Canis lupus familiaris: one gene and its partners. The protein of the gene in region 1 interacts with the protein of each later gene in a pairwise test. Links are inferred from orthologs where the notes say so. Each region holds a gene or a part of one and is shown in the gene's direction. Other genes may lie near its edges. The genes, in order: PIN1, MEOX2, HOMEZ, ABI2, CEP76, RBBP8 and GLI1.

Region 1 (3,500 bases):
AGAGCTCGGGATGGGTAGAGCTGAGATCTGAATACAACAGTGGGGGAGTCTAGAGTTTACCCGCCTTGGCCTCAGAGACGCATGGAGCAGGCCAGCCTGTGACCTCCCAGCAGCGACAGATGCACTTCTGTCATGCAGCCAGTTTCAAAGGCCCCCCAACTCCCCAAATCAGGTAAAAGTTCCCTGCTTCAGATGGGGAGCTCCTTGAGAGGCTGCCCCCCAGGATCTGCCTCTCACCTGGAGCGCCCGTTGGATGGAGTGCCGTCTCGGTGAGGGGTGTTGAGGCAGGCTGGCTAGGTCAGGGCATCGCCAGGAGGGTGGCAGGGGGTGTTTGGTATGTGCTTCCTTTTCCTCCCCCCTTGAGCATTTGGATCTAAGGCACAGAGGAAAGAGACATGAGATTCCAGCATTTCTGTCTAAGGAGCGGAGGGGTGGATCCCTCTCCCTCCTTCTCTGTGGCCTGTTTCTGTCTCATTTATTCATGAATTCCTTCAGCATTAGGGAGCACCTGTTCTGTGCACAGGGCCAGGTGCTGGGAACACAGCAGCGAGCAAGGCCCACTGGCCCTGCCCTCCCAGTCTGAGGCAGGTGACACACAGATGGGACACTGGCAAATGTAGGGGGGCACCTCCCACAGCGGGGTCTTAGGAAAGACTCCTGGATGAGGCCAGAGGACAACAAATGAGCTTCCTATGGGAAGAGACCATTAAGCAAAGGCCTCGAGGTGGCAGGGGCAGGGCAGACTGGGAGGGCTGTCACGGGGGCTGGGTTAATACTGAGCCCAGGGGATGCACAGGGGCCTGAGGGTTCCCTTGCATCTTGGCTTGTGGCCAGACTCCTGACGGGCAGCTTCTAGAAAGAGGAGATGAGAAAGCAGTGATTTTTTTTTGTTTGTTTTTAAGTCACTTGAGGCTCCTGTCCAAGCAGAACATTTCCTGAGAGTTGGCTGATCAGAGGAAGATTTGGGTGCTATGAACTATGGCGGGCAGAAACTTGGCTTTTATTTGATTTTTGGGCTGATATCTGTGTGTACCATGGCCAGGCCATCTAGTCTCAGGGATCCCTGCTGACTCACAGCATCGGCTCCTGGAGGATGCGGCAAGGTGGTGCTGTACTGGGCTCGGCTCTGCAGGTGCGGGGCCTGTGCCCGGAGCCGGGCAGGTTACAGCAGGGAGCACTGTATGCACAGGATTCTCTGGCCAGCGAATCGAGGTCCAGACAAGGGAAAGGAGGAAGAATCTTGAGGCTGCCCAGGTGAGGCGAAGAGATAGCCCGGAGTCCAGGGAGTAGAGAAGTCTCGGTGATGTCCAGTTCAGGCTGGATCACTAATGGGTGCAGCTAGCACTGGGGGGCCACCTAGCAGCCCCAGCGGGCATGGTCAGCCCCAGCATGGGCATTGCAGGCAGAAGCCACCCCTGCCCATGGAGGGTGGGGCTCATGTCGCACTGGCAAGCTTTTCTGACCAGGCAGCCTGTCCCATGACAAGATGCACAGGCAGGATAGCCCAGGGATGGGCAAGTCACACAGAAACGGGGGGAGTCTTATCACTGAGACGCGTGGCCCTTATGGATGGGAGAATTGTGACAGCACCTAACATTTGTCAGAGTCTCCATGGCAGGCACACTGTGCTGTCACTGTGGTCTGCTGGCAGATGACTAATGGGCCAGCAGCAGAGGGATGGTTGGGACATGGGGATGACAGGGTGAGGGGGACAGCAGTGGAAGGCCCCCAGTGGACCAGATACCAGGACCCAGGCGCTGCCATGGTGTGGGACAGGATGGGGTGATAGATGTGTTGTCACAGTTGTGTTGTTTCAGTTGTGGTCATAGCGGAGTTTGCACGAGCTCAGCAGGCAGATGGCCCCGGCTGGGTGTCTGGGCCTCAGTTCGCCAGGTGGCTTAATCAGCAGCGTCCCTGTGGTGCTCAGACAGGAGCAGTGGAGGGTGGTGTGCAGAAGCCCACTAGCAGGGATAACAGGGTGATCCTCACACCCGGGGTGGGCTGGGTGGGTGTGCAGAATGTCCCCAGGAGAGTAGCTGTCAGGGAGGCCATGTGGGACCAGGGTGGTCTGGAGCTGCATGTCCTGGGAGTCCACCCCGTGGCTGCGCCTGTGGGTGCAGGGACAAGACTGGCAGGAATGTTCCTTCAAGCGCTGGGGCAGCTGGTTGGAGCAGGATGGGGCATTTTGAGGAGGAGAGGGTGGGCTCTGGCTCTAGGGGCTCCTGCCTGGAACCTGGACTCAGGAGCAACAGGAGGCTCTTCCTCACCACGCAAACACAGCCTTCCTATGTGCCCTGCTCCCCACATGTGAGTCATATAGGTGCTCAGTGCAGCCTCAGCCTTCCCCCACCCCCCGCCCCCAGGAGATGAGTCCCCAGCGGAAGCAGTTTGTACCACACACAGGATGCATCCAGTGTGATGCCACCACAGCCTTTTAGGGCAGCTGCAAGAACGGTGTCGGCTGCTATGAGGCCATGTCCATGGAAATGACACATGTCCCGTCTCGGCTGCCTTGTGGTCTCTTCACGACGCCCCACTTAGCAGCCTGGGCCTTCCTCCCAGTTCCAATAGGTTGGACAGTTGAGGCCCAGGGGATCCGCCAACAGCTCCTGTGGCAGAGCTGGCCTGGTGCCCCAGCCTCCTGCCTTTCTCCTGGAAACTTCTAGAAAATTTCCCCATCAGTGCCTTGTGGGATCTTGGCAGGGCCCTGGGTCCCAGCATCCCTCTTCAGTATTTGCCCTGCTTTTTGCCCTCCTCCCCAACAGGGCCTAGAGGTAGAGATTTTCCCCAAAATATGTGTTGGGGTGTGGGAAAAGGTCATGTTGTGTTCATGTTATGTCTGTAGGGGGCGGGAGGTAGGAGTGGCAAAGGGAGCTGGGGTGGGGGAACGGGCTCTGAGACCAGTGTGGCTATTGAGGCCACCACAGGGTCAGGGGGCGCACACTTGGTGGCGGGGGGGTGGGGGGTGTTCATGAATGTGTGTGGAGCGAGTGGTCACCCTTGCAAATAGGGCAGGGGTTGCGTGCCTCCTTTCCGAGGGAAGTGCCCCCTCCATCAGGAGCCCCCCGCTCCATCCCACCCTGCCTTTGATGAGAGGTCTCCCTGTATGTCCACAGGCTACATCCAGAAGATCAAGTCAGGAGAGGAAGACTTTGAATCTCTGGCCTCACAGTTCAGCGACTGCAGTTCGGCCAAGGCCAGGGGAGACCTGGGTGCCTTCAGCAGAGGTGCGCAAGGAGTGGGCACTACCTGGCCCTAGAGGAGCCTCTGTCCCAGCCGCGGGGATCCCCCTGCCAGGGGGAGGTTGGGAGGGGTAGCCCCGGCTGTGCAGGTCTTCAGGGTCCACCAGGTGGCAGCACAGTCCCGCAGGCTCCAGAGGGACTCCCACTGCTGGGGGGTTGGCTGGGCTGCAGAGCCCTCTGCCTGGCTTCCTTTCCCCCCTGCGGTGGGAAGTCCGTCTGTGGGTCCCTCGATGCAGTTGTCCCCATCATGGACACGGC
Region 2 (4,072 bases), on another chromosome or scaffold:
ACACCCCCTTTCGAAGTCTAAAACAATATTAGATTCCCAAAACATATCGGCAAAGAAAGTCTTACCGTCAAAAGCTTGCAGCAGGTTCCAGCTCAGACCCAGACTGAAAAGCTGAGCAGCTGGTGAACAAAAGTTTTAGCTTTTTTTTTTTTTTTTTTTTTAACGAAGTCTGCAAAACTAATTTCCCTCAAAATAGGGCTCAATTTCCGTTAAAGAAAGCAGCGCTTACAAATCTCAGAATTCCTGATCACCCCCACCCCATCCCACCTCTAAGCAATGGAAAACAATTCGAACTTTCACACGGATGTAAAGGTTTATTGAGAGGCCACTATTCAGCAGTGGGGCTTAAAAGACCAGGGAGATAGGCTGAAACCTGAAGGGACTAGTTGAGGGAAAGTTTCTGCCTTGGGGACACTTCTCAAAGATTAATCAATACTTTTTCCTAATTCAAACCAGATGGCTGGCCCGGTTTGCTGTCCTCATTAATCCCATTAACAACTTCAAAGACCTGGTCCCCATCCTCTGGACACGTGAGACAATGAAAATAACGGGGCTACACTGCTGGTGGCATGTTTGTGGTCCTGGGCGGCATAGGTGAGCGCCAATCTTCTGATGCGAACCGTCCCAGACAGGACTTGACTGTTTCTGTAGCTCATTCAGTGCGGCTCGCTTGCCTTGTGTAAACGACTGTGCCCCCAGCAGACAGTGTCACCCCTCAAGCAAGTGGCAGTGTTAAAGCCCAGCCGCCGCGCCTACTCACTGATTCACTGACGGCAAGTCTTCTAACTAATTTTGTATGATGCGAGAGCGGAACCAGGGAGATCTGAAGCAGCGCCCAGTTTCGGTGAACTTTGGGGGTTATCGAAGTGTAATATTTGCCCTGTAAATGGGACCATGGCGGCAGGCGCGGGAGGGGGGGGGGGTGGAAGGGGGAGCCAGAAGCAGTGCCATTAGTTGATTTATTTTCGAGCGGAAGAGAAGGTGAATTTCTGGAGGGAGACGAGGGGACATGAGCTGACTCCTGAGGGGAAAGACTGGAAATGTGCTTGCAAGATACCGCATCACATGTCACCACGGCGATAGCGCTTCGGGTTTTCCTGCCCGAAAAGTTTTGGGTTGACAAATGGCTAGGAATTTGACGTGGACCAGGAAAGCAAGGGCAAGGACGTTGTGCAAACAAAGCAGGAAAGGCATACTCAGATAGGAAGAGAAGAAAGACCCCCACCTGGCACCGCAGGTGAGGATGCCAGCGTCTCGGGACATCTTGCAACTGTTGCTGCCCCCACGCTTTTGTCCCCCGCACCCCAGCAGGTCTCTCTCTTTTCGGCGCTGAGAATGGCCCTTTTCCTACCCGCGGGGCACTTCCCAGAAACCTCGGATGCCGGGTCCGAGCGCGGTAACCACCCACCCGGACGGAGAAAACAGCTGCGAAAAGCTAGACGCGCCGCTGCGCCCTGGGCACGAGTCGATGCAGAGTTTGAAAAACTTGTCTGAGCGCGCGCCAAACTAATCTTTTTTTTTTTTTTTTTTTTTTTTTTTTCCGTAATCCTACTTCCCCTTTCGAGCCCAAGAGCCGGGCGTACCCCGAGCTTTCCCGCAGGTGACAGCGCCCGAGTGGCAGTGACAAGAGAAGTGAGCGGGTCGGGCGGTGGGTGCAGAGTTGGGGCTGGCGTGCGCGGGCGGGCGCGGAGGGCACCTTGGCGGCCCGGCGGGCGGGGAGAGCCGCTGTCCGCGCGGCTGGGGCTGGGGCTCGGGCTCGGGCTCGGGCTCGGGCTCGGGCCGGGCTCAGGCGCCAGGCGCGCGGCTCGCAGCCTGGGCTGCTGGCAAGGGCGGGCGGGCGTGGACGCAGTGCGCACGTCCAGCCGGAGATAGGAAGTGGAACTGGGAGCGCGTGGCGCAGACTGAGCGGGAGTTTTGGAGGGAGTTTGCATGTGGTCAGCTCCGGGCTCCTGAGCCAGCCCCCAGCTCACATTACACTCTATTTATAACCTCTCAGAGCCGTTTCCCCCTGAACGCAGTTCTCTGGGACCACCTTCTTTTGGCTTCAACCTCTCCTACTCTTGACATCTGAGTAGCTCGAAGGGAAGCTTCTCCAGGTCCGAGTGTTTATATGTAAAGGAGACTGGCCGCTAGGGCTCCGGACCGGGATTATCCGAGCTCTGCAGAAACGGCGGGTAAAATTTGTTTGGGAGGGGGAAAACACACGGTTTCCAGTGAAAAGTGACAGAGGGTGGTAGCGTTCGGAACCATCGTGAAGTCTTCTGCCTGGAACCTGAGACGTGCATGCTATGGAACACCCGCTCTTTGGCTGCCTGCGCAGCCCTCACGCCACCGCGCAAGGCTTGCACCCGTTTTCCCAGTCCTCTCTCGCCCTCCATGGAAGATCTGACCATATGTCCTACCCCGAGCTCTCCACTTCTTCCTCGTCTTGCATAATCGCGGGATACCCCAACGAGGAGGGCATGTTTGCCAGCCAGCATCACAGGGGGCACCACCACCACCACCATCACCACCACCACCACCACCAGCAGCAGCAGCACCAAGCTCTGCAAACCAACTGGCACCTTCCGCAGATGTCCTCCCCCCCGAGCGCGGCTCGTCACAGCCTCTGCCTCCAGCCGGATTCGGGAGGGCCCCCGGAGCTGGGGAGCAGCCCGCCGGTCCTGTGTTCCAATTCTTCCAGCTTGGGCTCCAGCACCCCGACCGGGGCCGCGTGCGCGCCAGGAGACTACGGCCGCCAGGCGCTGTCACCCGCGGAGGCGGAGAAGAGAAGTGGCGGCAAAAGGAAAAGTGATAGCTCAGGTAAGAGCGCACCGGGCACGGTCGGCGAAAGGGGGCGGGGAAAGGACAGAGAAGCTTCTGGCGCTACAGTGAGGCGGCGGGGAATAGGGTACGCGTCTCGCCCTCTCTGGCTCCGCGCCGCCAAATTCGGCGGGGGCTGCTTTGGTCCTGTTATTTGGGGGCACGTGTTTCTCTCCAAGGGCAACACTGCAGCCAACAGCGATAAGCTCTCCAAAGTTCAAACTAGTTTACCAGAGGGTTAAGAAAAAAGGACAAGTGACAGTACGTGAAATCGATTGCAAAGCGTGACCTTCCATCTGAGCGGTGGGGAGGGGAGCGCACCCGGGGTTGCGGCGTCCGCTGGGCGTGCGTGCGGGTGCCGCTCCTTGACTCTTCCCTTGCAAGTTCCCGACTCCGACTGGCTCGATTTTTCCCATCGTTAACTGGATTTCCAAATTATTGCACAATATTTGGAACTTGCAGTGGAACTTGGCAGAACGTATGAGAAAAAAAAAAAAGTTTTAGTTTTTTTTTTTTTTTATTCTGATTTCAGAGTTCTTTAAATAGCACCCTATTCCAAATGGTAAAAAAAAAGAAAAAAAAATCCCTTTCTTGGGGAAGGAGACAATCTAGGAATTCAGAGGATTTTAAGGAATGTGTCAAAGAACGGTAAATAAATACATGCTCAGACTCTTGCGGAAAAAAAAAACGATTTTTAATAGTAGTTGTATTCGTGTGGTGCTAATCTAAATAGGGAATCTGAGTTTCAAAGTGGAAAGTAAAATATCTTTCTGTTGAGTATTATTGGAGGCAAGTATTTGGAAACAAACAGCAGCCGGGGTAGTGCTGGTTCTCTACGTGCTTAAGGCTGGTATTCGAGGGTGCGCGCAGGAGGCGCTGATCTATGTGGGGATAACTTGAGTGGCCACGCAAAAGCGAACCTTACTAAATGCAGATGCTTGAATGCGCAGACTGCCAAGTAAATTGTAGCAATCCCAGACACTAAAGCTTTCCAAGCAACTCCTTAAAGCCCTTCACAATCTGTATCATCGTCCAATTGTTAAGAGATACTTTACAATTAAGGGACTTGTGGATTTTCTTCTGTAGCTACAGCGTGCCCTGCGTTCCATCCCTTTTGGAAAGTGTCATTTGTTTAATATAATATTTACACATTTTTCTTCTTTTGTGGAATTGGTTTAACAGTCCTAGAAGGCAATGACAGGTATTGATGCGAAGGATTGGAAGATGTTTGTTTTTCATAATGCTTTAGGTAAGATCCCACGTAAATGGC
Region 3 (4,147 bases), on another chromosome or scaffold:
CAGCTTTAGAGAGCCAACACCTGAATCTTCTAGTTCTTCCCAAATAGAGCTGCCCCAGGGCCTGGGGGTAAGCTGGTGGTCTAATCTGGAATGGGAAATACTAGAAGTTTGAAGCAATCTTTAGAGATGTGTTACATATTAGGCATTGGGATGAGTCCTTTCCCCTAAAGGCTGGTGACTATATGAACAGGAACAATTTAACATATAATACGTCAGCTGTGGACGAGACAGCACTGTAAGAGAAAACATTACCCTGGTTAGGGGCTTGAACCCTTGAAGCAACACAGCTGGAACATTGCCCATTTCTCTCATCTAGACCTCAGATGTTTCCCTACACCAACCTGTCTTAACACCTACGAGCCTTCTTCTTGTACCTTGTTTCTCTTTATGAATGCAGCTCATTATTTCTCTTCATAGTAAGTCCTAACCCCTGAACTTTTCAGTCTAACACCCGCCTTCCCTTCTAACACCTGTGTTTCTCTGGAGCAACTCTGGATCCCTGCAATCTGCAAGTCATATAATCAGAGACCTGGAAAAGCTTATCTTTAGAGATCACTGGGGTCCCTGCTTCAGTACAGATGAGAACACAGGTCCGGAGATGGAGTGACTTCAGCAAGGTCAGAGAATTTGTTAGTGCAGCTGGAGATGGGGCTTAACCCCAGCCTTCCTGACCATATCCCACTCCCAGGCTAGAAAACAGGCTGCTGCACAATCAGACCTGGGGTTTTTCATGGCAAGGATAATATCACAAATGTTTCATTTTCTGCTGCTAGTTTCCACTCCCTTTTCTATACCGGCATAAAAAGAAACAAAAGGCACTTGTAGTTTTCTCTGTTCTCCCAAGCCTTGGCACTTTGGGTGATATTGCTAAGGAACAGTGAAGTTGCTAAAAAAAAAAAAAAAAAGACTGAATAACTCACCCATTGACTAGCTAACCTGGAGAGGAATTGCATGTTTGCTATGTGAATCCCCCCAAACCACAGTTCTCATCAGGCCGTCCCAGAGTGTCCTCATCCCCTTCACAGCGCAGCCCTGTTCTCTGGGCCCCAATCCCACTAGCGCTGAGCCTCACTTCAGCTTCCTCATGCAACTGCCCTCCCTTCTGGTTAAGAGGCCTCATGTTTGAAATAAAGGTAAAATATGAAAGTATATTATAAGATACTGAGATAAATTGATTTTTTCGGGGGGGGGGGGTGGCAAGAGACCCAGCGGCAAGATTCCTCTTCCCTATTTCCCATTTCTTGGTCATCTCATTTCCTAAAAGCCCTGTCCATTGGTGTCCTATTGCTACACAAAAGTTGGATGGGCAGAAGATACAGAGGAGCTGGGCAGCACTGGTATAAGACACCCCAATAGAATCCCACCATTTGGGTAGTGGCAGGAAAGTTATCAGGGGGCCCAGCTCTAGTTCCCTAGCACCCAGCACCAATTCCTGGTACAGTTAAAGGATAAAATCCCCGAGTTTCCCCTTGTGTCGGGGGACCATCTAAGTTACATTCTTCTTAAGCACTGAAGGGCAGAGCAAAGCCCTTTTCTCTATCAAGGGCAACCCTAAAGTAAAGCACAAGAAATATGAAGAGGAAAAGCAAAGACCTCTGTCTAATCCAGAGTGGAACAATAAATATTAAAGTGAGGCATCCTTGAAAAAGATCAGGTTCTAACATAATTTTGACTTCCACATCACCTGAACAATGAGAGAATTCAGTTACCCACAAATGAGACAATGTTTCTAATAGGAAAGCCCTAACCTGAGAATAATCAGATTCTCCTAATTTCATCATAATGGCCAAGTTGTGATGTCACTACAGAGCACCCACACTTACGTTGTGAAGCTAGATATGCTGAAGGGTAGAGTCAGCATGAGGAGCAGACACCCAAAGAGAGGTAAGTGGGGGGCTTCCCAGGGTTTTTCTCTGTGGCTTATTGCCTAAAGTCCCTCCGTGGCCCTAATGTCTTTCCTGGCTTCTCACAGTTTAGTGCTACGTCTGTCTGAAATTCTTCCACAAATTCCTTCACTGCAGCTTTAGCTATCCCAAATCTTTTAATAGTTGCAGTTCTGATTGGTCAGCCCTCAGCTTTTGGATTTCTTAGGAGACCGGGCACAAAATGGTGGAGCATGTTTCCCCTAAGTGAGGCAGAAACTCCCCATATCCATTTGGGTTGTCCCAGGGGTAGATGCTAGTTTTGGGGTGCCTGAAGCACAATTTTTGGGGCTTTTTAAAAAACTTATTCATGAGACACAGAGGCTGAGACATAGGCAGAGGGAGAAACAGGCTCCCCATGGGGAGTCCAATGCAGGACTCTATCCCAGGACACCGAGATCACACCCTGAGCCAAAGGCAGATGCTCAACCACTGAGCCACCCAGATGCCCCTTTTTGGAGACTTTTAAAAGAAAAACACATTAGTCACAAAAGTGAAAATAGTTTAGAATGAGAAAAGATAAAAATTTTAAAGAGCTGACAAATACAATATCATAAAATCAAGAAAAATAAAATTTTAAAACCTACTTGACAAGCATTTTTTTTTTTTTTTACAATTTTATTTCTGAGTGCATGCTCTTGATAGCTTCTATGATGAGAATGTTTTCTCTAAGGAGTATAGAAAAGTCTTCTACATGACACTTTTTTTTATTCTTAGTGATTTAGAAAATTTTCACCTTCACACTTTATAAGTGATAAGAATATCACAATTTTGGGCAGCCCTGGTGGCGCAGCGGTTTAGCGCCGCCTGCAGCCCAGGGCGTGATCCTGGAGACCCTGGATCGAGACCCTGGATCGAGTCCCACGTCAGGCTCTCTGTATGATGCCTGCTTCTCCCTCTGTCTGCTTCTGATGTCTGCTTCTCCCTCTGCCTCTCTCTCTCTCTGTATCTATGAATAAATAAATAAAATCTTAAAAAAAAATTAAAAAAAATCACAATTTTTTTCAGATTTTTATCAAACTTGAAAAAAACACTATCAAATTTCCTTGATGTATGTGATATAAAATTTCAGAGCATTTCAAATTTGTAATGACTAATATGCTCTGGATCGTTGACATTCGTATTAATGTAGATGTATTAGTCAGCTAGAGCTGCCATACAAAAATACAACAGACTGGGTGGCTTTAGCCAGAAATTCCCTTACAATTGTAGAGGGTAGAAGTCTGAGGTCAAGGTATCCACAGGGTTGACTTCATTCTGAGGTTCCTCTCCTTGGCTTATAGATACCCATCTCCCTATGTGTTCCCATGGTCGTTCCTATGTTCGTGTCTGTGTCCAAATTTCCTATTCTAAAGATACCAGTCATATTGGATTAGGACTCACCCTGAAGACCTCAGTTTAACTTAACTACCTCTTTATAGACCTTGTTTCCAAATACAGTTATATTCCAAGGTATCGAGACTTAGTACTTCACAGTAAGAATATGGAGTGTGTGTGTGTGTGTGTGGGGGGGTGGACAACACAGTTCAGCCCCTAACACTATGCTTACTATTAAACTATTTACAGAAGTAACTGCAAACCACAGTGATAGACCTACTCAACCCAAAGCAAATGTATCCCCAACTTAATTTCCTTAACCAATCCCAAAATGCCTATGGCCCCTCCACTGCCACTTGACAAAAGAAGTATAATGGAGGGGAAGTCAGAAAGGAAAGAGACATCAATCTTAGTCAATTGCAGTTGAAATATTTTTTTCAAGTTTTACAAAAAACTATGACCATGTTAACATGTTCTTGGGGCTCCTTCAGTGCTTTGGAAGAGGTCTGTGCAAGAGATGGCCCTGAAACTTCAGCTTCTTTAGCTATAGGGTAAATGTGCCTCTTGGTTAATCCTGCTAATATCTAAGTCATGCAAAGGAAGAGAGAACTTCCACCAATATGGGGGATTAACATCTCTATATTGAGGATGGCATGATGAGTCCCCATTCTTCAGCACTAGTCCCTGGAAGAGCTGGGAAGGTTCGTTATCTTGCTAAAGGTGGGGCCCTCCCATCTCGGATAGCCTGGATCTCTTCCTCTCTTCCAATCCCCATACAGTCTACTCCATCTTCTAAAGTTTTAGAGTGAAATCCACATAAGAGGGAGTCTTCAGCACACACTCTAGAATAGGGGCAGGTGGATTTCTTCTATCCTTGGATTTTTCCTCTCCTAAACCTGTCCAGTTCT
Region 4 (3,500 bases), on another chromosome or scaffold:
ATACTTAAGGAAAAACTGAAATTGGTAGCTGGGTTATGTTAAAACATTTTCCTATCTCTGAATACAAATTGTATTTCACTACTGGCAACTCTTTGAATTTATTGTGCCGAAATTTGCTAATCACACAATACATACGCTCTTCTTTTTGTAGGCGGCACTCCCCCTATCGCACACTGGAGCCAGTGCGTCCTCCAGTGGTACCAAATGATTACGTACCTAGCCCAACCCGTAATATGGCTCCCTCGCAGCAGAGCCCTGTGAGGACAGCTTCTGTGAATCAAAGAAATCGAACTTACAGGTATTTTCTCTACCTCAGTGCAAAATGTGATGGTCATAGTACCATAATTTGTTCAGATTACTTCAGTTAAATCTCTCTCATTTTCCAAGCACTAAGTTCTTTTCCTCACTCTACTCTCCCAAACCTCATCTGATTCTGCCTCTCTCTCCTCATGTTCTGATGCAGCTTTGAGGTCAGGAAGTTGGAAAAAAAATAATAAACCCAGAAAAAACAGACATCTTAAAAATACAAACTTCTCTAAAAAATTAATAGTTGTAGTTGACCTGAAAGAAAGTTATGGACCAGATGTGGGGAAAAAAGTTATGGATTAGATGTGGGAAATTGCAAGTTGTTTTTTGGTGGAACTTTACAGATGAAAAACTATACATGGTAAAACATTAATATGAAATGGTACACCAAGATATCATAAATAAAATTAATCAAATAACCTGTTTAGGAAAACTGTGTTTTTTATTATAAAACAAGTTTCTTCAGGCAGTAAAAGTAATACTATTTTTGTGTGTTGAGTCCTGTCACTTACCACTTATATTTCTACAGAATTTTTCCTTCTTTCTCAATTTCACTTTCTTTAATAGATGCTTATTAAAAGGTAGTCAGAATGAATTTCTTGAACTCATGTTTTTTTCCTGTTTTACTCAGAAATTAATACATGAAATGGAGGGCTTTTGAATAATCTTTGTTTAGCTATATTCATTTCAGAAAATTTTGGGAAGTGCTGGTGGTATCTTATATAAATACTCATGTTTTGGTGGCTCTTATTTCTTTAGCAGCAGTGGGAGTAGTGGAGGAAGTCACCCAAGTAGTCGGAGCAGCAGTCGGGAGAACAGTGGAAGTGGGAGTGTGGGTGTTCCCATTGCTGTTCCTACTCCCTCTCCTCCCAGTGTCTTTCCAGGTAAAACATGAATGGTGCCTCATCTTTACTTGTCTTTTTTGAATTTGAATTCAATTTCCAATTTAATAATGATGGGCTTTCTTCATAATGAAGATTTTTTTTCCTTTAGGACTCCATAAATGTTGGGAAATCTTTATGCATTTGTTATTTTTAACCAAGTGATTTCTGAATTTATGCTCACATACCTCTGTTATTTGGCTTTGTCTTTGGTGCAGTGGCTCAGTTGGTGCTTTGAGGTTTCAGGTACCTCCTGGGTATGAGTTATATGTTTAACTCCAGCGTTATGACATTGCGTGCATTTGGACACAGTGTGAGAATCACATAGGTAAAAAAAGGACTGGACAAATTTAAAAGTAGTTTTGGCAGTTAAATTTAGTGGACTCTTGGAACTTAATACTCTGAAATGCTACCTTTTTTTTTCTGAAACAGAAAAATGTGCTTATTTAATTTATTTATTCATCAAAGTTGAACTTTAGTTTTAAAAGTGTGACACAAAAGACCTAGGGATAGACTTTTTTGTATTTAATTTACTTATACCAAATAGATAATAATTTTTTTATAATAATATTTTTAAAATCATGAAAAAGATTTTTCTGATTTTTTTTTACCTAATGTTTTTGTCTAGAATATGTTTATTTTCTGATTTTTGTGTTTCAAAATGGAATACTGTTTCCTAATGTATTATGTTTAGTTTTGTATACTGTTTACAAAATACTATGCTAAAAATTATAATATAAAAGGTACAATACAGTAGAAAAGTTACTTTTCTTAGAGTAGTGGCTTTCAGGTAAAACGGAATGCTGTTTTTAATGAATTAAAAAATCTGTACATTGCCCTGAGCATTTTGAATTATTTGCTGCAAACCTAATTATCCTTTAATATAAGCTTCATTTTTTTCCCTATTCTCTTCTTTTCTTTGGTTAGTGTTAAGCGCTGAATATTTAACATTAGGTTCTCTAATGCTTTTTCTAATCCTGCCTAATGGGTCTGCCTCATTAATGCCGCCTCTTACTCCTCTTTCCCCTCAGCCCCCGCTGGCTCTGCTGGTACTCCTCCCCTTCCTGCTACTTCTGCATCTGCCCCTGCCCCTCTTGTTCCTGCTACTGTCCCTTCCTCCACTGCCCCAGACGCTGCTGCTGGGGGGGCCCAGACCCTTGCTGATGGCTTCACTTCTCCAACTCCCCCTGTTGTTTCTTCCACTCCCCCTACAGGTGAGTATGGCTTGTTCTTTGGCAGGCACATCCAGTCATCTGGCTCTTTTATCTGGAACTCTGGCTTTATGACTTTTGTTTGTGCTGTGTGTGTGTATAAAATCTGAAGAATAACAGACTAACTAGAAAATGGCATGTGACCAAGAATAGAATTTCCTGAGGAAATCAGGGTAAAGTTCACATGCTTTTTTCCAGTAGAGTAACACAAATACACATTTTTTTAATGCTTGAATTTCATTTATTGGAGTTCTGTGAATTTAATATGGAGCCATCTTCTTACAGTTTTGAGACGTTGTTGTTAGAAATATTGTTACAGATTAAGACTTTAACAGAGAAAAGTCTATGGAAATAATATGGAAATAATTATAAGGTATATTTTATAGGAAATATCTGATAAAACAGTTTAGAAGTCTCTATTATAGCAGCACTGAAAACATATGGACAATGGACTTTTTAAAAAGATTTTATTTATTCATGAGAGACACACAGAGAGAGGCAAATACATAGGCAGAGGGAGAAATAGGCTCCCTTTGGGGAGCCTGATGCAGGACTTGATCCCAGGACACTGGGATCACGCCCTGAGCTGAAGGCAGGTGCTCAACCACTGAGCCACCCAGGCGTCCCTAGATAATGGACTTTTAAAGAATTTCATGTTTAGTTAAATGTTACTTAAGGTTAACTGGTGTTTCAGTGTTTTAAAATAGCAACCTAAAATCCGTTTTGATGGGGAGGGGGAAGAAGATTCAGTTGCTACAAAATGTATTTGCAAAGTTAATAGTGATGCTGGTTAGTAAACAAATTCTTTATCTATTAACAAAAATGTGTATGTTTGGACACACATCACCTTAGCTTGCCAAATATTTCATAGATTACATATTTAGCTCTGCAGCTATAACCAGATGTTTAAATGTGTTAAAGGATACTTTTAGCTAAAATGGATTTTGGATGGTGTTTTATGGGATAGTGTCTGTAATAGCACTTTAATATTTTTTTTGTTTTTATTTCTTTATGAGAGAGTGAGAGCACGAGTGGGATGAGAGGCAGAGGCAGAAGCAGACTCTCTTGCTGAACAGGGAGCCCTGACATGGGACTGGATGCC
Region 5 (3,500 bases), on another chromosome or scaffold:
AAGGATTCTTTGTTTATATTAGATGGTACTCAAACGCACAAATTAATAATTTTCATTATTAGAGCCTTTTTATGACCAAGCAAAAGATTACTTCAATTAAAACAGCTCTTAATTTGAAGAAAATTTGTACACCTAAAATATTCTTTACCAATATAATATAATAATATTAATATATTAATATAATATAATATTGGTTAAAAAATAATTTATTTTAAATTTTGTAATTGGCATATGCTTTTTCTAATGTTTTTCCCCAAGCCTAAAAATAAATTGAGGTTGTAAATCATGATTTCTTTTGAAAATTTGATGTCACCAATTCCACATTGGTAAATTCACTGTATGCTTTTCTTAGCTCTTTGGACTGCCATCAGATTTTGAAAGAGTTCGGTGTTCCCTCTTTCCTGGAACCATCTCTTTCCTTAGCTTCTACCATAGCATTGTCTTTCAGTTTTCATTATTCCTTTTTTTTTTTTTTTTTTTTTAGTTTATATTATTCTTATCTGGCTGTTCTTACTTCACCTTTATCTGATCTACAAATGGAGTTTCTAAAGGCATAGCCCTGGGCCATCTTCTTAGGTTTTTTAATTTTCCCCTGGTTGATAATCATTTTTGTTAGTTGTACCTATTAATGTATAGCTAAAGTATTTTAATTGTGCTATTTGAGATGAATGATTTTGATCTTAATGGTTATACATAGAATATATTCTCATGTTGAATAAAGTTGATTTTTATATCATATGTGCCATACAATTACTGTAATAAAATTGTAGAAATATAAGAAAAAACAAGTATTAAACTCTAGTCCTGGGAAATAGTTATAGCCCTAAATATCTTTCTTAATAAATGTTACCATCTTAATTTTTAAGTTTTTACTGTATAAAATTATACTTTACTTTTTTTAGGTACATCCACAAACCTGCCAATCCTGATGAATCTCCAGTTGCAGAACAGCCCAAACCTCTGTACCCATATCGAACAATTGGTTGTGTTTTCAATCATCAGATGTTCTTGGGAAATTGTCAGCCCTCTGACTCAGTAGAAATCTGTGTATTTGATTTGAATGATGAATCCAAATGGAAACCCATGAGTGAAGAAGCAATCAGATCTGTGTGCGCTCCAGGAGCTACAACATCCCTTCCTCCTTTTCCCCCTCTATGTGCATCCACAATTGATGCTTCAGTAACAAGTAATGAAATAGAAATGCAGCTAAGACTGCTAGTGTCAGAACACAGGAAGGTAATTAATACTGATATATACTGATATTTGTAGTTTCATGCATTTTTTTTCATTTGTTTATGTATTTAACAATAATAAGGGGAGGAGGGCAGCTAGGATAGTACCAGTCACTGTTCTAGCCCTGAACAAAACAAATTTTGTTCCTGCCTTTAAGCTTGTAGTTTTGAAAGTCATGAGAGTTAGGTTCTGAGACCAAAAGTTTCCAAACTCACTAATATTTTTAGAATTTATTACTTCTAGAAATGAAGAGTGGTAAACTAGTTCAGACTTTTGCTGAATACCACTCTTTGGATTTATTTTTCTGTGGAGTACTTAATTCATATTATTCCTACTGAAAATACTGGGTTATATTTTTTTCATAATCATTTTTTTCCAGGTTGGTTTTATTTTGCCCTATCACATGAATTTAGCTGGATGTAAAATTATATTCTCATTCTAGTTTTAATTTGCATTGCCCTGATTATTAATGAGATCAGTCCTCTTATTAGCCATTTAGATTTCTTTTGTGCATTAGACATAACAAACATAAAAAGATATAAAAAGATTAGTATATTTTAAGAATTTTTGTTCATTGGAAGAAACCAGTCAGGGAATGAATGAAAACATGATTGGAGTGGGTGCAACACATAACCATCAAAGGACTAGAATCTCAGAAGACTTATTTCTAATTCATCTTTTGGCATTCCATAATAGACTCTCCACCTTCAGTGAATCCTGTTTACTGTGTTCCTTGAGGGCATCAAAGGCAAAGTGATTTATTAACTATGTTTTCTGGGCTTCCAATTACTATTAGTTTGGCTTCTAAAATCTGCTCTACTCACTTGCCAACTCATCAAAGCTTTTAGAAGTGTATTTTGGAAAGTAATCTGGCACTTATAGTTTGTTCTCAGCAGTAGGTTGTTCAAGGACCTACTTCACTTACACTGCGGAGAATGAAAGCCCCTCATTACTGCATCTTTCCCTCCATCACTCATACTATACTGCCTTTTAGTTTTCCTAGGTCTTGTTTACAAATAAGACCAGTATTTTATTGTAATAGGAATTTATGTAGAAAAAGAAAACAAAAAACTGAGCTAGATGCTAGTGTTGATCATTAAGTTAATGGTGCCTGAAAGCCAGTAAGTGAGATTTACTTTTCGCCACAGAAAAAAAGATAGATGAACATAGACCTTTGGGGTTACTTGGAACCAGCTAAAACCTTGAATACAAAATCAGGAAATGGCAGAGATCTATTATGATAATCAAAATATTTAGAATTTTTGAGAAAATTTTTTTTGTAACAATGTTTTTAAAATATCACGTGTATAGATATATGGAGTTCATTTCATACCACAAGTGAAATCTTAAATGCCTTCAACATTCTATAGAAACATGTTTTAAGCTCCCTGAAGGCCTAAAGCATATCTTTTCACCTTTATATCCCTTTACGGTATAAAAGTTAGTATTATCATGTAATTCATTTGTTGACTTTTCTCTCCTACTATAGTTGAATTTGTGTTGGAACAATTAAATTAAGCTGATTCAATCTTACTCTTTAAATAAAACGTGATTTCAGATTTCAGCAGCACTGTGTTTTCCATAGTAGGACTGTTCCATGTAGTATTTTCTAGTGAATATTAAGGAAGTACAGATTTTTGAGCCTTTACTAACATCAATGTATTAAAAGTTTTTTCTTTTTTTTACTTCTAAGTAAAACCAGGTACCTGTAGTTCCTTTATTTGTACGTGTCCTTATCATAATAGAAAATTTAAAAAGTTATGATGGGCTTTATATTAAAATATTTTTTATATTTTAAATGTATTAAAATCACCAACACTTATAATTGGTTATTAAAATACTAGTATATTTCACCTTTTCTTTTTATTTTTCGATTGCTGTAGGATCTTGGGCTCACTACTGTTTGGGAAGACCAGCTTTCCTATCTCTTATCACCAGCTTTGGCTTCTTATGAATTTGAGCGTACGACAAGTATATCTGCAGGCAATGAAGAATTTCAAGATGCCATAAGGAGGGCTGTACCTGATGGTCACACATTTAAAGGGTTCCCAATACATTTTGTCTATAGAAATGCAAGGCGCGCATTTGCTACATGTCTTCGGTAAGGTGGAATTTATGAATTTGTAAATGTTAACTGTCTTAGGAATTTAAAGATTTTTTTAAAATTAATTAATTAACTAGAGTAGGAGATGAGGGCAGAGTGGGGATAAGCAGACTCTGTGCTAAGCATGGACCCAAGTGCGGGGGTGGATCTCATGATCTGAACT
Region 6 (3,500 bases), on another chromosome or scaffold:
AAATCTTTAAAAAAAAAAAAAAAAGGAATGCAGATTGGTACAGCTACTATGGAAAACAGTGTAGAGGTTCCAAAAAATTAAAAATAGAATTACCATATGATCCGATAATTCTACTACTGTGTATGAGAATACTAATTCAGGGGGTGCCTGAGTGGCTCGGTGGTTGAGCATCTGCCTTTGGCTCAGGGCATATCTCGAGTCTGGGGATTGAGTCCCACATCGGGCTCCCTGCACAGAGCCTGCTTCTCCCTCTGCCTGTGTCTCTGCCTCTCTCTCTCTCTCTCTCTCTCTGTGCCTCTCATGAATAAATAAATAAAATATTTTAAAAAAATTTTAAAAAGAGAATACTAATTCAGAAAGATATATATACCCCATATTTCATTGTAGCATTATTTACCGTAGCCAGGATATGAAAGCAACCCAAGTGTCCATAGATAAATCAATGAATAAACAAAAATGCGGTTATGTATATACAGTGTGATATTACTGAGTCATAGAAAAGAAAAATATCTTGCCATTTACAACAACATGGATGGACCTAGAGGGTATAATGCTAAGTGAAATAGAGAAAGACAGATACTGTATGATTTCCCTTACATGTGGAATTTAAGAAACAAACAGAAGAGACAAAACTAAAGCAGACTCTTAAATACATAGAACAAACTGATGGTTGCCAGAGGGGAGGTGGGGGAGTGGGAATCAGTGAACTAGATAAAGGGGATTAAGAGTACGCTTTCTTGATGAGCACTGAGAAGTGTATAGAACTATTGAATCACATTGTACATCTGAAACTAATATAACACTGGATGTTAATTATACTTGAGTAAGAAAGAATTTTCTACATGAAGAACAATACCCATTAGCAATCATTCTGCATTCCTCTTCCCTCTTTCCCAATCCCAGGCAACTAGCCTACCCTCTATCTCTATAGATTTGCCTATTGTGTTTTCATATGAACGGAATCATATATGATTTTTTGTGACTTTTCATTTTTTCACTACTATGAATGTTCATAGCAGAACATTGAGTGCAATCTTATGTAGATGTATATTTTCATCTTTTTTGAGTTATATATAGGAGTAAAATTGTTAGACCATATGCTAACTGTATTTAACCTTTTGAGGAACTGTTTTCCAGAGCATCTATGTCATTTTACATTCCCATCAGCAACACTTAAAGTTCCCATTTTTCTACATTTTCACCAATACTTGTTATTATCTTTTTTATTCTAGCCATACTTTGGGTATGAAGTGTTATCTCATTGTGGTTTTGATTTGCCTTTTCCTGACAGCTAATGCTGTTGAATGTCTTTCCATATGCTTATTGGCCATTTGTATATCTTCTTTGAGGATTGTCTGTTTAGATTCTTTGCTTATTTTCAGTTGGGGTATTTGTCTTATTATTGAGTTGTGAGAGTTCTTTTTATGTCCTGGATGCAGCCCCTTTAGCAAATAGAGGATTTGCAAATCTTTTTTCCCATTCTTTGGATCTCATAAGGTTTTAAAGTGATAAGAATGTTTAAAATCCATTTTTTCCATTTTAATTGTATTTTTTTCTCCTTATTGAAGATGGATCCTTTGAAAATATCCAGTGGAGCATAGATCCAGGAGCAGACCTCTCTCAATATAAAATGGATACTACTGTAGTAGATACAAAGGTAAGTTAGAAAGTAAAACCAAGGCCCATGTGGTTATTCTAGTAAGTTGTTAGTCATCCTTCTCCCCTAACTAACTCTGTGACGTTAAGATAATCACATATCTGCATTTATTTATTCCAAATAAAACCTGCATTTCTTTATTCAGAAAACTAAGAAATGAAAATGCTTATTCTTCTAACTTTATGATGTTTTTGAAAGGGTAATAATACTTTCTGACTTTAAAGGCCTTTGTTGAGACACCCAAGGGGCTCAGTAGGTTAAGCATCCGACTCTTGATTTCAGCTCAGGTCATGATCTCAGGGTTGTGAGATTGAGCTCTACATTAGGCTCCATGCTGGGCTTTGAACCTACTTAAGATTCTCTCCCTCTCCCTTTGCCCCTCTTCTCTCTCTGTCTCTGTCTCTGTCTCCCTTTCTCTCTCTCTCTCTCCCCCCCCTAAAAAAAATGAAAAAGAAAGGCCTTTGCTGAAAAATATTATAGTATTAAATAACGAAAAATGCTAATTACATATTTTAATAATTTTATACACACACATATATATTTTAAAGATTTTATTTATTTATTAGAGAGAGTGCGCGCACGCAAACTAGGAGGAGCAGAGGGACAAGCAGATTTCCCTGCTAAACAGGGAACCCGATACAGGGCTCAATCCCAGGACCCTGGAATCATGACCTGAGCAGTAGGCAGACACTTAATCAACTGAGCCAGCCACAGGCCCCTTAATAATTTTATATTTTATCAAAATAATTCATCATATGCCTTGATTAACTTTTAAAATAACATACCATAAAGAAAAAAATTATTTTCCCAGTTGGCTATTTTTTAAATACTGTATATTTCTCTAAAAATTAAAATTCCCAGGCTCCTGGGTGCTCAGTTAAATGTCCAACTCTAGATTTCAGCTCTGGTGATAATTTCAGGGTCATGAGTTAGGCCTCACATTGGCCTCATGCTGGGCATGGAGCCAGCTTAAGATTCTCTCTCTCCTCCATCTGCCCCTCCCCTGCTCTTAAAAAAAAAAAAAAAAAGATAAAATTCCTAGTGGAAATAACTCTTTTGGCTTGTTTTTAGGTTTTATATAGTTTGAAAAGTACTCTTTCACTTGGGAGCATATTAATGAAGTATTTAACTTGGTACAGTATGAAATTGTTGTTCTTTGTGTACACTGACATTCATTACTGTGAAGCCAACTGGAGAAGAAAGGGAGGAGAAGCCCAGGGAGGTCAGTGGTATGCATCTCTCCCTTCCTTGGCAGCAGTCCTTCTTTTTGTGGGCTTGAGAGAGGATACTTGTGTATTGAAGCTAAAATGTTTTACAGGCAATAAAACCTAAATCTATATATATTCCTAAAGAATAAAAATAAATATAACTTAATGCTATTGAAGTGTACACTTAAAATATGGTAAAAAAAAAAAAAAAAAAAAGGTCAATTTCATGCTGTGTATATTTTACCAGAATTTTTAAAAAGTAAATATAAGGCCATATGGGATAATTGTTAAAATTTTTGAATTTTTAAATATTTAGGATGGCAGTCAGTCAAGATTAGCAGGAGGAGAGACAGTGGACATGGACTGCACATTGGTTAGTGAAACTGTGCTTTTAAAAATGAAGAAGCAAGAGCAGAAGGGAGAGAAAAGTCCAAGTAAGATTTGATTTTTTTTTAATTTAATAAAAATGTAGAGGGAAGTTTATAGTCATACCATTGCACTGATGACCAGAAGTGACCTCTTCACCATAAACCAGGGGTTTTTTCTTGTTCTGATGAATAGATTTCTCTTAGTAAAGCTCAGTTTCAGTATTACAAGGGGAAAATATCTTTAGCCAAAATCTTTTTTTTCCAGAA
Region 7 (4,157 bases), on another chromosome or scaffold:
CTCTCGTGAATAAATAAATAAAATCTTTTTTAAAAAAATAAATAAGATCTTTTTTAAAAATTTAAAAAAAAGAGCTTCTCTGAAAGAAAGGGCAGACGGCTGAGGCAGGAGAATGTGTAGGGCTCCTTCTCCCGTTGACCGCTGGTCTTGCCTGACCTCTGGGTATAACTGGTGTCTAGGCCAAAGTCATATGGGGGAGGGACAGTGAAACAGGACTCTGTATCTGTTCCCCCACAATTACAACCTATATTTGCAGGGCCTCAGACCTCTTCCCACTTTCACCTTTTCCCCTTGACCCTCAGTCTTAATAGCTGACCTACTAACTCTCCAGGCCCAAGAAGGTGCTTCTTGGAAGCAGAGCTAAGATGTGGGAGGTCTATCTGAGGGGTGACAGGAAAGGAAAGGACTCCTTTTCCTCACCACGTTTTTTCCCCTTTCTCATAAAGAAAGGTCACAGAGACTAAAATAGCTGCCCCTTCCCCTGCATCCAGTCACTATGGCAACACAGATCCGAAGGGACAGGGCACTCCCCTCTCAGACGCTGCCGTTCCGCACTGGCAGCCTCTTCTAGGGTGCCCTTCTGTTTCTTTGGGCTGGTACACCCCTCCCTGGGCTCCTAACTGGGGTTTGGTGGGGGGACCTAGGAAGCCTCCTACTCCTGCAGCTCCCCCAGTCTTCTCCGCCTGCAGCCTGCGGGAGTGTGCCATGTGCCAGAGAGGCCAGCAGAGGGAGCAGACAGCCTGGAAGAGCAGAGAGCCGGCGGCCTCGAGGTGCGGAGGTGCCCGCAGTCTCCAGAACTTAGAGACGCAGGACACCGGGCGGGGGGGTGGGGGGTGGGGGGTGTCTCCGCGTTACAGCGCTTGAGTGCCTCCCCAGGGTTCCTTAGTGTGAACCGCACACTCTGCACCCGGAGCCTCAGCCGCTGCCCTCTCTTCGATGCCCTATAGACCCTTCACTTCTAAGCCAACTCTGTTCCAGTCCTGTTTGCACCAAACCCCAAATCTGTCCTAACCCCTTCATGTTCCCCTGAAAGAGGGAGGTCAACAGATAACCTGCAGGATGACGCAATACTCGCAGCACCAACCAAAGTCGGCGGCGCTACCCTCCAATATTATCTTTCTTGGATGAACTTTTTCATCGCCCCCCACCTCCCAATGTATTTGTTAGTTTTTTTCTGACTGTGGTTGGGGTGGGGGTGCCGCTCCGTGGGCAGCCGATCCCAGGATCCATGCCGGGATTTATTGCCCACCAGCAGCAGCGTGTTCAGCGGGGGGGGGGGGGGGGGGGGGAGGCAGTATAGGGTCCCTCCAGGGAGGGGGAGGATCCTGGGGGTCCTGGGGGTGCAATAAGCCCGGCACCCCCTCTCTAGCTTTTGCTACCCCGCCTCATTCTCCAGAGCGGCAAGAGGGAGGGAAGTGGAAGGGAGGTGAGAGGCGAGCGGGAAGAGCGGCGGCGCGCCAGCTGCCTGAGCGAGAAAAAGTTTCTGCAAAAGGGAAAAAAAAGTTTGCGCTTCTCGCGGGTGGTCCCGGCTCGCGGCCCGGCGGGCTGGGCCGGCGGGAGGGCTGGCGGCCAGGTTAGGAGGGGGTGGGGGTGGCATGAGGCTGCGCTGCCGTGGCCCTGTGCGCCCCCCCTCCCCACCGCACACCCCCCAGCCCACACTCCAGCCCTGGACCGCGCATCCCGAGCCCGGCGCCCAGAAGGAGGTGAGAAGGGGGGCGGGCGGGGGACCACCTGGGAACCGTAGGGGAGGGGGCGAGGGGATGCCCTGCTCGCGACGGGCTCTGGCCAGCCCAGAGGGAGACCCGGGGCACCCAGGCACAAAGGGGGTGGGAGAGCCCGGGCCGAGATCTAGAAAGTTTGAAGGACTTTTTTCATTTGTATCTCCCTTTCTCTGTATCTTTTTTCTTCTCCTCCTCCTTCTCCTCCTTCTCCTTCTCCTTCTCCTTCCTCTGACAGCCTCTGTGTCTCTGTCCCAGGCACCCGGGGATCTCTTTGTCTGTCTCCGCCTCTCCTATGTATTAGGGACAGGTTACTTCCAGGAGGTTGGCATGAAGAGGCAGGAGGGACGGCTAGCTGGAGGTCTGCGTGGTAGGGACGGAAGTCCAGGTGTGTCGGGGCCGCAGGAGACGTCAGGGTTTCTGAAAGGAGGGAACAGCCACGGAGAGAGCCCTGGGTGGGGTGGAGACGGGTGTGTGCAAGGGGACAAACCAGTGGGGGATGGCTCGGCTTGAACCCCTGACCTGTCTTATGACAGATGCGTTTGCTGGTGCATGTGTTCTCGGGAACGGAGCGTCTTCTGGATTAGGAAGGGGGCTGGAGGGGCCGGCGTCTTGTTTAGGCCCTAGAAGGCTCCTCAAGGAATTAGGACTCCTGAGTCCCCAGAGCCGTGGTCAGGGTGCCGAGGCGGAGCTGAGGAGACCCTGGCTTGACCCTCTGACCTCAGGACCACCGGGACAGCTGGGCCAGCCGCAGGGAGACCCCTACTGGGACTGGGCGGGACCACTGGCCACTGCCTGCCTAAGTATCCCGGTTGGACCCCCCTCCCCAACGGGAGCTGGGGGCCGAGGCCCCTCCTCTGCCTCAGACCACCCTGCCTGCCCTTGCTCCCCGCTCTGAAGCCTCTTTCAGGCCCGGTGACCCCGAAACAATCCGCCCTGGGCCGCTGGCTTTGGGGACAGGATTAGGAAAGGGGATCCCATAGTGACTAGGGACTTAAGGTTTTGGGGGCTGGAGAACTGGGGGTCTTCATAGGATAGATCTTCACTGTCCAGTGGGAGGGGAAGGCGGGGCGATTTCCCCGGGGAGTTGTAAGGGCCGGAATTAGGGTGGTTTTCCCTATGGGGGCGGGGTCCAGAGACACCCCCCCAGTTATCTCCCCGGCATCCCTAGCCAGGCAGTACAGACCCCGCCCTTGACGTCACTAAGGGGTTCCCGGGGGTCTGGAGGGGTTAACCCTTGGGAAGCCGGCTGCGAAAATCAAAACCCAAGGTGTCCTGACCCCTCCCTCCTCCCATACACACCTTGTTTTATTTACCCAGGCACCTTCTTTCCCTATAGTTTCTGGATTCTTCTTTCCTTTCCACCCAGCCACGGGGACCCCCCCCCCCCTCCAACAGTGCCCGCCGCCCCCCCGGGCGCCGCTGCCAGCTTTCTGGCCGCACAGAGGGGAGGAGGGAAGAATGCGTCCCGCCCCCCGCCCCCCCGCCCCCTCCGCCGCGGCTCGCTCCACTGGGCTCCCGGGCGGGCGGGGGAAGCGGAGCCGTCTGCAGCCAGAGCCTGCGGCGGCGACTTGGGTGGGCCGAGGAGGCACGGGGGCGGGGAAGGCGGGACCCGGAGGAGGGGGCGGGGCCTACTCCTGGGAGTTGGGGAGCGGGGGTGCGAGGGGGCCTCCGGAAAGTAGGGAGACGCCGAGGGTGATTCAGGGCTCCATCAGGGCGACCCTCAGCCCCCTGCCCCGGCCTGCGCTCTCATCCACACCCCAGCAAAAGACGTAACTGAAGCTGGAAACGTTGGCGAAATTTTCCTGTCGCCAGGGCGAAGGGGAGACGTGGGTGGGCTGTGGCACGCGTGGGCGAGCGGGGATGTCGCCCCGTTTAGTCGCGGCCCCTCGGCGGCGGGCAGTGGCGCGGGAAGATGCCCGAGTAGGCACGTTTGGGGGAGTCTCCTTAGTATTGGGGGGTCGTCTGCGGGCCCCGCCTCCTTCCCCCGGTGAGTCATAGAGGAAGGAGGCGGGAGAAGTGTCCCCCTATCCAGCTGCCAGCCAGCTGTGCCCCCCCCCCCCCTCCCACACACACAAAGTGCCAAGGTCGAGTTGGGAGGTCTTGGATGCGGGGCCCGGCCCTGCGCTGGGAAAGGAGGAGTTAGGAAGGGTACGGTCCCGGCTGCGGGGCTCGGGCTGCGTCGTGGGGTCCGGGTTCCGCTCCCCATCTCACCCCTCCCTTACCCTAAATCCCAGCATCCCGGGATCACCCACCGCGCCGGCCGGGCCCGCTCCCGAGCGCTCTCCACCCTACCCCGCCCCACCCCACCCTCGGCCCCGGGAGGCGGGAAAACCCGGGCTGGAGCCGAAGCCGGAGTTTGAGGAGGGAAGCGCCGGCCCAACCCTCTCCTCCCGCAGCTCTTCTCCCCTGGATGGTGCCTGTGCCTTCCCTTCTCCC

What was found.
Region 2: the proteins of PIN1 (region 1) and MEOX2 interact in binary tests that used the Homo sapiens proteins (3 or more experiments, as listed by UniProt). The two-hybrid records come from large-scale screens. The link is inferred for Canis lupus familiaris from reciprocal best matches to the Homo sapiens genes PIN1 and MEOX2.
Region 3: the proteins of PIN1 (region 1) and HOMEZ interact in binary tests that used the Homo sapiens proteins (3 or more experiments, as listed by UniProt). The two-hybrid records come from large-scale screens. The link is inferred for Canis lupus familiaris from reciprocal best matches to the Homo sapiens genes PIN1 and HOMEZ.
Region 4: the proteins of PIN1 (region 1) and ABI2 interact in binary tests that used the Homo sapiens proteins (3 or more experiments, as listed by UniProt). The link is inferred for Canis lupus familiaris from reciprocal best matches to the Homo sapiens genes PIN1 and ABI2.
Region 5: the proteins of PIN1 (region 1) and CEP76 interact in binary tests that used the Homo sapiens proteins (3 or more experiments, as listed by UniProt). The two-hybrid records come from large-scale screens. The link is inferred for Canis lupus familiaris from reciprocal best matches to the Homo sapiens genes PIN1 and CEP76.
Region 6: the proteins of PIN1 (region 1) and RBBP8 interact in binary tests that used the Homo sapiens proteins (3 or more experiments, as listed by UniProt). The two-hybrid records come from large-scale screens. The link is inferred for Canis lupus familiaris from reciprocal best matches to the Homo sapiens genes PIN1 and RBBP8.
Region 7: the proteins of PIN1 (region 1) and GLI1 interact in binary tests that used the Homo sapiens proteins (3 or more experiments, as listed by UniProt). The link is inferred for Canis lupus familiaris from reciprocal best matches to the Homo sapiens genes PIN1 and GLI1.

What each region holds. Positions count from the first base shown.
Region 1 is NC_049241.1:51,553,172-51,556,671, reverse strand, and holds part of PIN1 (peptidyl-prolyl cis-trans isomerase NIMA-interacting 1), read left to right. Parts: intron 1-237; exon of another isoform or gene 238-373; intron 374-1,075; exon of another isoform or gene 1,076-2,108; intron 2,109-2,394; exon of another isoform or gene 2,395-2,662; intron 2,663-3,116; coding exon 3,117-3,227; intron 3,228-3,500. UniProt on the Homo sapiens protein: Peptidyl-prolyl cis/trans isomerase (PPIase) that binds to and isomerizes specific phosphorylated Ser/Thr-Pro (pSer/Thr-Pro) motifs.
Region 2 is NC_049235.1:30,370,403-30,374,474, reverse strand, and holds the start of MEOX2 (homeobox protein MOX-2), read left to right. Parts: upstream 1-1,272; 5' UTR 1,273-1,632; intron 1,633-1,835; exon of another isoform or gene 1,836-1,996; 5' UTR 1,997-2,288; coding exon 2,289-2,802; intron 2,803-4,072. UniProt on the Homo sapiens protein: Mesodermal transcription factor that plays a key role in somitogenesis and somitogenesis and limb muscle differentiation. Required during limb development for normal appendicular muscle formation and for the normal regulation of myogenic genes.
Region 3 is NC_049229.1:3,678,737-3,682,883, reverse strand, and holds the start of HOMEZ (homeobox and leucine zipper protein Homez), read left to right. Parts: upstream 1-1,347; 5' UTR 1,348-1,796; coding exon 1,797-1,884; intron 1,885-4,147. UniProt on the Homo sapiens protein: May function as a transcriptional regulator.
Region 4 is NC_049258.1:12,103,411-12,106,910, forward strand, and holds part of ABI2 (abl interactor 2), read left to right. Parts: intron 1-151; coding exon 152-298; intron 299-1,065; coding exon 1,066-1,190; intron 1,191-2,218; coding exon 2,219-2,401; intron 2,402-3,500. UniProt on the Homo sapiens protein: Regulator of actin cytoskeleton dynamics underlying cell motility and adhesion. Functions as a component of the WAVE complex, which activates actin nucleating machinery Arp2/3 to drive lamellipodia formation.
Region 5 is NC_049228.1:78,163,202-78,166,701, reverse strand, and holds part of CEP76 (centrosomal protein of 76 kDa), read left to right. Parts: intron 1-902; coding exon 903-1,236; intron 1,237-3,116; coding exon 3,117-3,334; intron 3,335-3,500. UniProt on the Homo sapiens protein: Centrosomal protein involved in regulation of centriole duplication. Required to limit centriole duplication to once per cell cycle by preventing centriole reduplication.
Region 6 is NC_049228.1:65,288,209-65,291,708, reverse strand, and holds part of RBBP8 (DNA endonuclease RBBP8), read left to right. Parts: intron 1-1,568; coding exon 1,569-1,657; intron 1,658-3,181; coding exon 3,182-3,299; intron 3,300-3,500. UniProt on the Homo sapiens protein: Endonuclease that cooperates with the MRE11-RAD50-NBN (MRN) complex in DNA-end resection, the first step of double-strand break (DSB) repair through the homologous recombination (HR) pathway.
Region 7 is NC_049231.1:1,917,677-1,921,833, forward strand, and holds the start of GLI1 (zinc finger protein GLI1), read left to right. Parts: upstream 1-1,357; 5' UTR 1,358-1,703; intron 1,704-4,157. UniProt on the Homo sapiens protein: Acts as a transcriptional activator. Binds to the DNA consensus sequence 5'-GACCACCCA-3'. Regulates the transcription of specific genes during normal development.